2 linked regions of the Danio rerio genome follow. The protein of the gene in region 2 interacts with the protein of the main gene of each other region in a pairwise test. Links are inferred from orthologs where the notes say so. Each region holds a gene or a part of one and is shown on either strand. Other genes may lie near its edges.

The links.
Region 1: the proteins of rsph1 (region 2) and morn3 interact in binary tests that used the Homo sapiens proteins (3 or more experiments, as listed by UniProt). The two-hybrid records come from large-scale screens. The link is inferred for Danio rerio from reciprocal best matches to the Homo sapiens genes RSPH1 and MORN3.

The regions. Positions count from the first base shown.
Region 1 is NC_133185.1:47,157,740-47,162,324, forward strand, and holds the start of morn3 (MORN repeat-containing protein 3), read right to left. Parts: upstream 2,827-4,585; 5' UTR 2,708-2,826; intron 1-2,707. Other genes in the region: tmem120b (transmembrane protein 120B), read left to right, coding at 3,015-3,077. UniProt on the Homo sapiens protein: Assembles a suppression complex (suppresome) by tethering SIRT1 and MDM2 to regulate composite modifications of p53/TP53.
Region 2 is NC_133184.1:18,425,514-18,429,339, forward strand, and holds part of rsph1 (radial spoke head 1 homolog), read right to left. Parts: intron 1,048-3,826; coding exon 942-1,047; intron 117-941; coding exon 94-116; 3' UTR 1-93.

The sequences.
Region 1 (4,585 bases), on a different chromosome or scaffold from region 2:
AGTAATACACAAATGATGTACAGTTGAAGTCAGAATTATTCGCCCCCTTTTGATTTTGATTTTCTTTTTAAAATATTTCCCAAATGGTTTTTAACAGAGCAATGAAATTTTCACAGTATGTCTGATAATATTTTTTCTTCTGGAGAAAGTCCTATTTGTTTGATTTCGGCTAGAATAAAAGCAGTTATTAATAAAAAAAAAAAACATTTTTGGGACAAAATTATTAGCCCCTTTAACTTATTTTTTCATTAATCTACAGAACAAACCATCGTTTTACAGTAACTTGACTAATTACCCTAACCTGCCTAGTTCACCTTATTAACCTAGTTAAGCCTTTAAATGTCACTTTAAGCTGAATAGTAGTGTCTTGAAAAATATCTAGTCAAATATTATTTACTGTCATCATGACAAAGATAAAATAAATCAGTTATTAGAAATTAGTTTTTAAAACTATTATGGTTAGAAATGTGCTGAAACAATCTTCCCAGAACAGAACAGAAATTGGGGGAAAAAATAAACAGGGGCGCTAATAATTCAGGGAGGCTAATAATTCTGACTTCAACTGTATGTGGTAGGTGAAGCAGTGGCGCAGTGGGTAGTGCTGTTGCTGGGTCACTGGTTCGAGCCTCGGCTCAGTTGGCGTTTCTGTGTGGAGTTTGCATCTTCTCCCTGCGTTCGTGTGGGTTTCCTCCGGGTTAGGGTTAACACACACACACACTCATACACTATGGACAATTTAGCCTACCCAATTTACCTGTACCGCATGTCTTTGGACTGTGGGGGGCACCAGAAGGAAACCCACGCCAACACGGAACATGCAAACTCCTCCAGCCTCCAACATTCTACCAGCTGACACAAACAGAACTCGAACCAGCGACCTTCTTGCTGTGAGGCGACATAGCTAACCATTCATCCACCGTGCCACCACATTTATAATAATATAAACAAATAGTTTTCAACTACAGAGTAATTTATGCAATACCTCACAATTTACTGTAGCAAAAACTAAAGTATACTATAGTATTCATTAGTTTTTCAGATCAGTATAATACAATTTGAAATAGTATGGTTCAAAAACACTTTAGTGTTTACTAAAAGTTACTATATTATTTTTTTATGTGGGAAATGTTTTGTTTTAAAACTCTTATTGAAAAGAGGGACAGATATACACTACCTGACAAAGTCTTGTTGTTGATCCCAGTTGTAAGAGCAACAAATAACTTCTAGTTGATCATTTGTGAAAGTGTCAGAAGGTGTTTTTTTTTTCTGATGAATCATCTGTTAACTGCATCCCAATCATCACAAATACTGCAGAAGAGCTACTGGAACCCGCATGGAGCCAAGATTCTCACAGAAATCAGTCAAGTTTGGTGAAGGAAAAGTCATGGTTTGGGGTTACATTCAGTATGGGGGGTGCGAGAGATCTGCAGAGTGGATGATCAACATCAACAGCCTGAGGTATCAAGACATTTGTGCTGCCCATTACATTACAAACGTCGTTTGCATACTTTAGCCTCCACATTAAAGTTCCTGAAAGCAAAGAAGGTCAAGCTGCTCCAGGATTGGCCAGCCCAGTCACCAGAGATGAACATTATTGAGCATGTCTGGGGTAAGATGAAGGAGGCATTGAAGATGAACACAAAGAGTGTTGATGAACTCTGGGAGTCCTGCAGGAACGCTTTCTTTGCCGTTCCAGATGACTTTATTAATCAGTGATTTGAGTCATGTCAGAGATGTATGGATGCAGTCCTCCAAACTCATGATGGAGTCAGACACAATATTCATGCTGTCTCCACTGCAGCAGGACTTTATATTCTAGACTGGACATTATTTCTATTCAGTGATGAGACTTTTTTTCTAAGCAGAGTCAGACCTTACTGTCCTAAAGAAATCATTAATAATCAAGGCATGATCATATTTTATTGTGGTCAAATAAGCGTCATCTAGAGGCCTTTGACTTTCATATAAGCCACTTCTGATACTAAATGATCAATTAGAAGTCACGTTATTATTTGCTGTTCTTAAAACTTGAATAGTCGACAAGACTTTTGTCAGGTAGTGTACATGCTCATTTTCATTCATTCATTCATTCATTTTCTTGTCGGCTTAGTCCCTTTATTAATCCGGGGTCGCCACAGCGGAATGAACCACCAACTTATCCAGCAAGTTTTTACGCAGCGGATGCCCTTCCAGCTGCAACCCATCTCTGGGAATCGTCCACTCACACATTTACACACACACTCATACAATACGGACAATTTAGCCTACCCAATTCACCTGTACCGCATGTCTTTGGACTGTGGGGGAAACCGGAGCACCCGGAGGAAACCCACGCGAACTCAGGGAGAACATGCAAACTCCGTAATGCTCATTTTATAAGAAATATTAAATGGTTATAGTAATGTAGTGTATTAGAGTAATGCTTGTGTATGACAGAAATGCGGTACAATTTCTACTGCCTTAATTCTACCGATGTTAAAGAGGTATATAATAAACACAATTTTATTCAAATGCACAAATTTCGTGGTATTTACTTAAATATTTATTTATTAAAAGCTTTTTGGGAAGAATAACAAAGTGTAAACAGATGTGTTTATAATACCCTATATTCACCAAAGGCTATTAAACAAAAAGATATGGTGAATACTAGAGCTTTTTTGCATTTAAAACGTGTAAATATAGTAAATAAATCATAGTCAACACTTACCTTTACAGTCCAGACCGCTTAAAAAAACCCAAATCAACCATTTATCTACGAAAATCAACTTTAATTGTCAAGCAATGGTCGATCTCGACTAAACCTCTTAAAAATAATTAGTGTACTGTAACCAAGCAACGAACTCTCTAATGTTTATTTTCGCTGACTCTCCCGGTCGTCAGATGGCGATGTCATCCTCTGAACCTAATGCTCGGCTGTGATTGGCTGACGTGGTGGAAGCGGAGCTTATATAAATGGCTGGAGCGCCTACTAGCGGCAGTTAAGCGGCACAGCAGCGCTAACGCGGACGGGTACAATGTCACTGGAGAGATGTCAAAGTGAATGGACAGAAATAGAGCAAGAATATCAGCAATTACAGGTTTGAGCTGAACGGATAAACGTTATATTTGTGCGTCGTTAACCAAAATATGAGTTAATGAGTCATTAAAGAAGCAGTCGTGTGTGTTTGGGATGTTTATGATGCGGCTAGCGGGCTTTAGCTCATCAGATGAACTGATTTCTATTGTTACTGTACATGTGTATTAAATCTGTATCAGCTTTCTATATTATATATAGTAGAATACAAAATAATAAGCATTGTTTTTGTACATCTGCTCGGTTTTAATGAACTCGGTGTGTTACTGATGTAATTCTGATAATGCTTCACGAATGTAACTGGTTAAACTAGGTTAGATGTTAACCAAGAGTTATTGCTTAACTGTTAAAATGATCTATTCTTGATATCAAGGTCAGATTACAGTATGATGAAGCTCAAAATGAATGAGAGAAAGTTCATGAAGCTCCAGGGGTTTGAATGCCTTGGAAAAAGTGCCTTTTAAAGTAAATTACCATGGGAGTACTAGGTTTTTGGGACACAATTCATGATAGTACTCTGGTATTATTTCAATTATTTTGGACTTCCATGTAATAAACATTTAATATTGTATCTGATATAAAAATATTGTATATAAGCCAAAGATGAGTTTTTTAACACGCATGGAAATTACTATAGTAACTTATGTAGTAGACATGGGCTAGACCAGTGGTTCTCAAAGTATTTTCCCCAAGTACCACCTCAGAAAAAAATGGTCTCTCCAAGTACCACCATAATCAACAGTATTGAAATAAAGGAGCCTAGTGGGCTAAATTAAGCAGCTAAAGCACTGCACAGTTCGAAAATGAGACAGAGTCATTCATTCAACGAAATTATATTCCATACAAAATATTTTATCAGTCAGTTCTTGTCACATGACTCGCGGTGCTGCATTCTGAAAAGTTAAGATGTTTTCAACTGGGGAGGCCTGGAATACGCAAGCGCGTCGTGCTGCAGGTCTTACTCATTTTGCTAGCCTGTGGGTTCAATTTTGGCACTCAAGTGACCGAGATGTAACAAGAGAATACGGTCATTTTTCAAAATGAAAGATTTTTCAAAATAAATGATCGTTCAGACTCTGATTATAAATAAAACTGAAATAATTAATAATTTTTTGTGTGTGGCCCAGTACCAATTGATCTATAGAATGGTGCCGGTCTGCGGCCCGGGGGTTGGGGACCACTGCTCTAGCATGTATCTGCTCTGCAAGCACCACGCACCTCTTTCTCTAGTTCTGCGCCATTTGGATTGTGCATTTTAAACATCGCTTTGATCGTAGGCTTTGGAGAACAGCCAATGCTGATCACAATGGTGTTATTGTACACATGAAATTACTAAAAATGTATTAATTTTTTCATTCATTACTCAGTGATTCCTCTGCGTACTACTAGAAGTAAGCCCGCGTACCTCTAGTGGTACACATACCAGTTTGAGAACCACTGGGCTAGACGGTATGATAACCTTGGATAAAAATACGGTTTCACAGTATCACAGTATTGTGAATGCTGCTCTAA
Region 2 (3,826 bases):
ACATAGCTCACAGTCTCACTGTATTGCAGGTTTATTCAACAGGACCTCAACTCTCCGCTCTTTTTTTCCTCGTCTTTTGAAGGTCTGTCTTTATCACTCCTCCACCGCAGTGTGACCTGCAATAAACAAACACAGTACTTCAGTTCAATTTACTGTTTTTGAAAAACTTCAGTTCTAAGCATAATTTATATAAAGTTCTAAGCATGAATGAGTACACCCCTCACAGATTTCTTTTAAACTAATATTTTCTATAGACCATTTTGAGGAATGTAAACAAAAACAATGTTCCCAAAATATTTCCTGTTTTACATTTTTAATTTCTATATCTTTCGAGAATTCAAAATGAGTCACATGTTGATAAATAATGTTATGATAGCTGTTTTAACATTAAGTTATGATTGAATTCCCTCATTACAGTTATGAAATAGTTTAATAACAAGCAGGAAATGTTATGGGCCAATGACATCACCACATTGAAATGATCTATAGGATGATATTTGTGCATACATTAGATTAGCCAGTGCCAAAGCCGAAAACTATAAATAAAATTAAATTAAATTAAAAATATAATAATATCAGAGTCTAAAAATAAGTACTCCCAAACTAATTTGTCTTTTTTTTTAATGCAATTAACTCATTTGAGTTATTCCTAAAGGTGTTAAGTAACAAAACTCTTATTTTTCATGAATATAACTGTTTAATGCAACTGTTTTGTGTAAATGCACCAAAATATATTGTCTATTTTCACTGGGAAATGAATAAAAAATATGTATACATTTTCAAAATTGGGCTTTACATTTATGCAGAGCATTGTTTATTTACATATAGGACAACAAAATTACTACCAATGTTATATAGTGACATATAACTGTGTTTTAATATTGTTTTATATTAATACATAACTATTAAATGATAAATAAAATATATGAATTTGACAGCACCTGAGTCCCTCTCAGTGGTCCAAACAGAAAGCGCAGTAATTGCCTTGGGTTTCCATTTTAGAATGGTTGTCATTGCGGGTTCTTCTTCTTCTGCATCTCCTTTAACCTACCGTCAACAAATGTCATTTGAATTTGGCTCCACACAAAATCATTGCACAGCAATATTTTTCAAAATGTATCTCAAAACATTTTGCTAGAGAAAAACTCATTTAGAGATAAAAAGATTTGATCCCAAAATGTGTTTATATTAACTGAATACTTTCACTTAATACAATGTGAATTCGGTGCAAAATCTGTGCATTGGTGAAGTGTTTGGGCTTACAGCAGTGACACTTACAGTACATTACATTGAACTGAACTAAATTGATCTTCAACTGTATCTATTGAACTGAAGATTTGTACTAGAACTTGTTAAGCTGCTTTTGCACAATCTACATTCTAAAAAGTGTAATAGAAATAAAAGTCGCTGGTCCGACTTCCAGCTGGGCCAGTTGGCATTTGTGTGTGGAGTTTGCATGTTCTCCCTGTGTTCACGCGAGTTTCCTCCAGATGCTCCAGTTTCCCCTAAAAACATGCAGTATAAGTTAATTGATTAAACAAAATTGGCCGTAGTGTGAATGAGAGAGACTTTAATATTTAACTTAACTAAACTTAAACCAGGGCAGCATGGAGAGGGCAGAACAGAGAGTTCGACTGGAAAATTATGGTTCCCCTGAAATCTTTTCAGAGGCTCCTGGGGCATACAACATCCGCAGCTGCTGTCACGCTGCTCGGACTGCTACATATAAACTATTTCAGCACTGACTTCATAATCAAGTCCCCAGATGCACATGGCATGCAGGCACACACCAAGTAACTGTCACTGCACTGTCACCACACCCTTAGCCCTTGGAGGGACCCTGCGTTTCTACAGGTCGGAGTGGTTCTACGACAGGCGTCCAGGCATGTTGTCATCTCAACAGATGCTTCCAGCATGGGGAGCCATGTGTTACGGGCATGCAGCCATGGGCCTGCGGAAAAGGACCCAGTTGCATTGGCATATCATATGCCTGGAGCTGTTGGCAGTATTTCTCGCTCTGTGCCGTCTTTTACCAGTGCTGGAGGGGGAACACGTGCTGGTCAGGCTGGACAGCACAGTGACGGTGGCGTATCCGCTCGCTCGCCAAGCTCGACTGTGCAGCCGATGCGCTCTCACGGCAGTCTCTACGTCCGGGAGAATGGAGACTCCACTCCGAGTCCGTCCAGCTGATATGGGCTTGCTTCAAGGAAGCAAACAGGTCGACCTTCAAAGAAGCGACGACCCCTGCCTGCCAGATCCCTTTGAGAGAAGACCTCCTCTCTAAAGACAGGGCACCATCTGGCACCCTCACCCAGATCTTTGGAACCTCCACGTATGGTCCCTGGATGCAGCGAGAAAGACTTGGGTAACTTCAGGATAGGTTGGAGCGCAGGCTGTCGCCCTCCACACTGAAAGTTTACGTGGCTTAAATTCACTCCGCTTCCTCTCATGCCCTCTTGGGATCTCGCTGTGGTGCTTATGAGCATACACGAAGATTTGTTCAAACTACTTGACTCAGTATCCTTGAGATTTCTGTCCCTGAAGACAGCTCTGCTGGTCACGTTGGCATCGATCAAGAGGGTCAGGGATCTGGAGGCATTTTCAGTCAGTGACTCGTGCCTGAAATTTGGGCCGGCCTACTCTCACGTTGTCCTGAGAGTTCCTACCACACCGTTTAAGGACCAGGTAGTGAGCCTGCAAGCACTACCCACGGGGGAGGCAGACCCAGCCCTTTAATTACGGTGTTCTGTTCGCGCTTTGGAAGTTTATGTGCATCGCACTCAGAGCTTTAGATTCTTTGAGCAGCACTTTGTCTGTTATGGTGGTCAGCAAAAGGGAAGTGCCACATCTAAACAGAGGTTGGCCCACAGGATCGTGGATGCCATCTCCTTTACTTTCCAAAGCCAGAGCAAGCAGTGTCCCCCAGCGGTGAGAGCGCACTCCACACGGAGCGTCGCATCCTCTTGGGCGCTTGCACACAAGGGGTTCGAGTCTGATGAAGAATGTAGTAAATAACCAGTAATGTAGTAAGAAGAATGAAGTAAATAACAGGGTAAGAATGTGGTAAGATCTGAAAACGTGATAAAAATTGGACAAGGGCTTATCTTTTGCTGGAATGCTTTTGTAAACACTGACAGTTGGGTTTAGGGAACTAGGTGATCGGGTCAATCAGTGCTTTTAAAAACACTATCGGTTTGGTTTAGGTAAGGGGGGGGTGGAGATATCGGTCTGTCGGTCAGTCAGTCAGTCAACAGCAGACTCTAGTGGATTTCTGCGAGAACAGTATGCGCGAATAGCACCTGCGAAAAAACTTTGATATCTGAAAAGGATTACACAGCAGCCTCTAGTAGATTTGCGAAAACAAACCTGCAAAAATAATATACATTTTAATAATGAGCCTTGGTTGGTTTTTAGTGTCTTGGTATGCTTTCATGTATTCAGGTATAATCTGTTTTCATGAGGGTCATTGCTTAAAACATAATTGAAATATATTTCATTTAGTTTTATCTAGTAGTTGGTAATGTTTACTAGCATACTAATCTGAAAAACTAAGTGCTCAAAACAAAAAAACTCCACTCCTGATTAGTCTAAAAAAAAAAGAACACTGCATGAGAGCTGTTGGCATGCAGCAGGCAAACTGCACCATTAAGAAGCACAGCAACAATATATCCAGAAGAGCTCATAAAACCTCTTCTCCAAAAGCCAAAATAGCAATAGAGAAGCTCTGTCCCTGATGGGGGTAAGGAGAACGCAACTAAAAAAAATTCCATTCATTATTAGTTGTCTCCTTTAGTACTGGCTAGATTCAGTAATAAAAAAGTGTGAA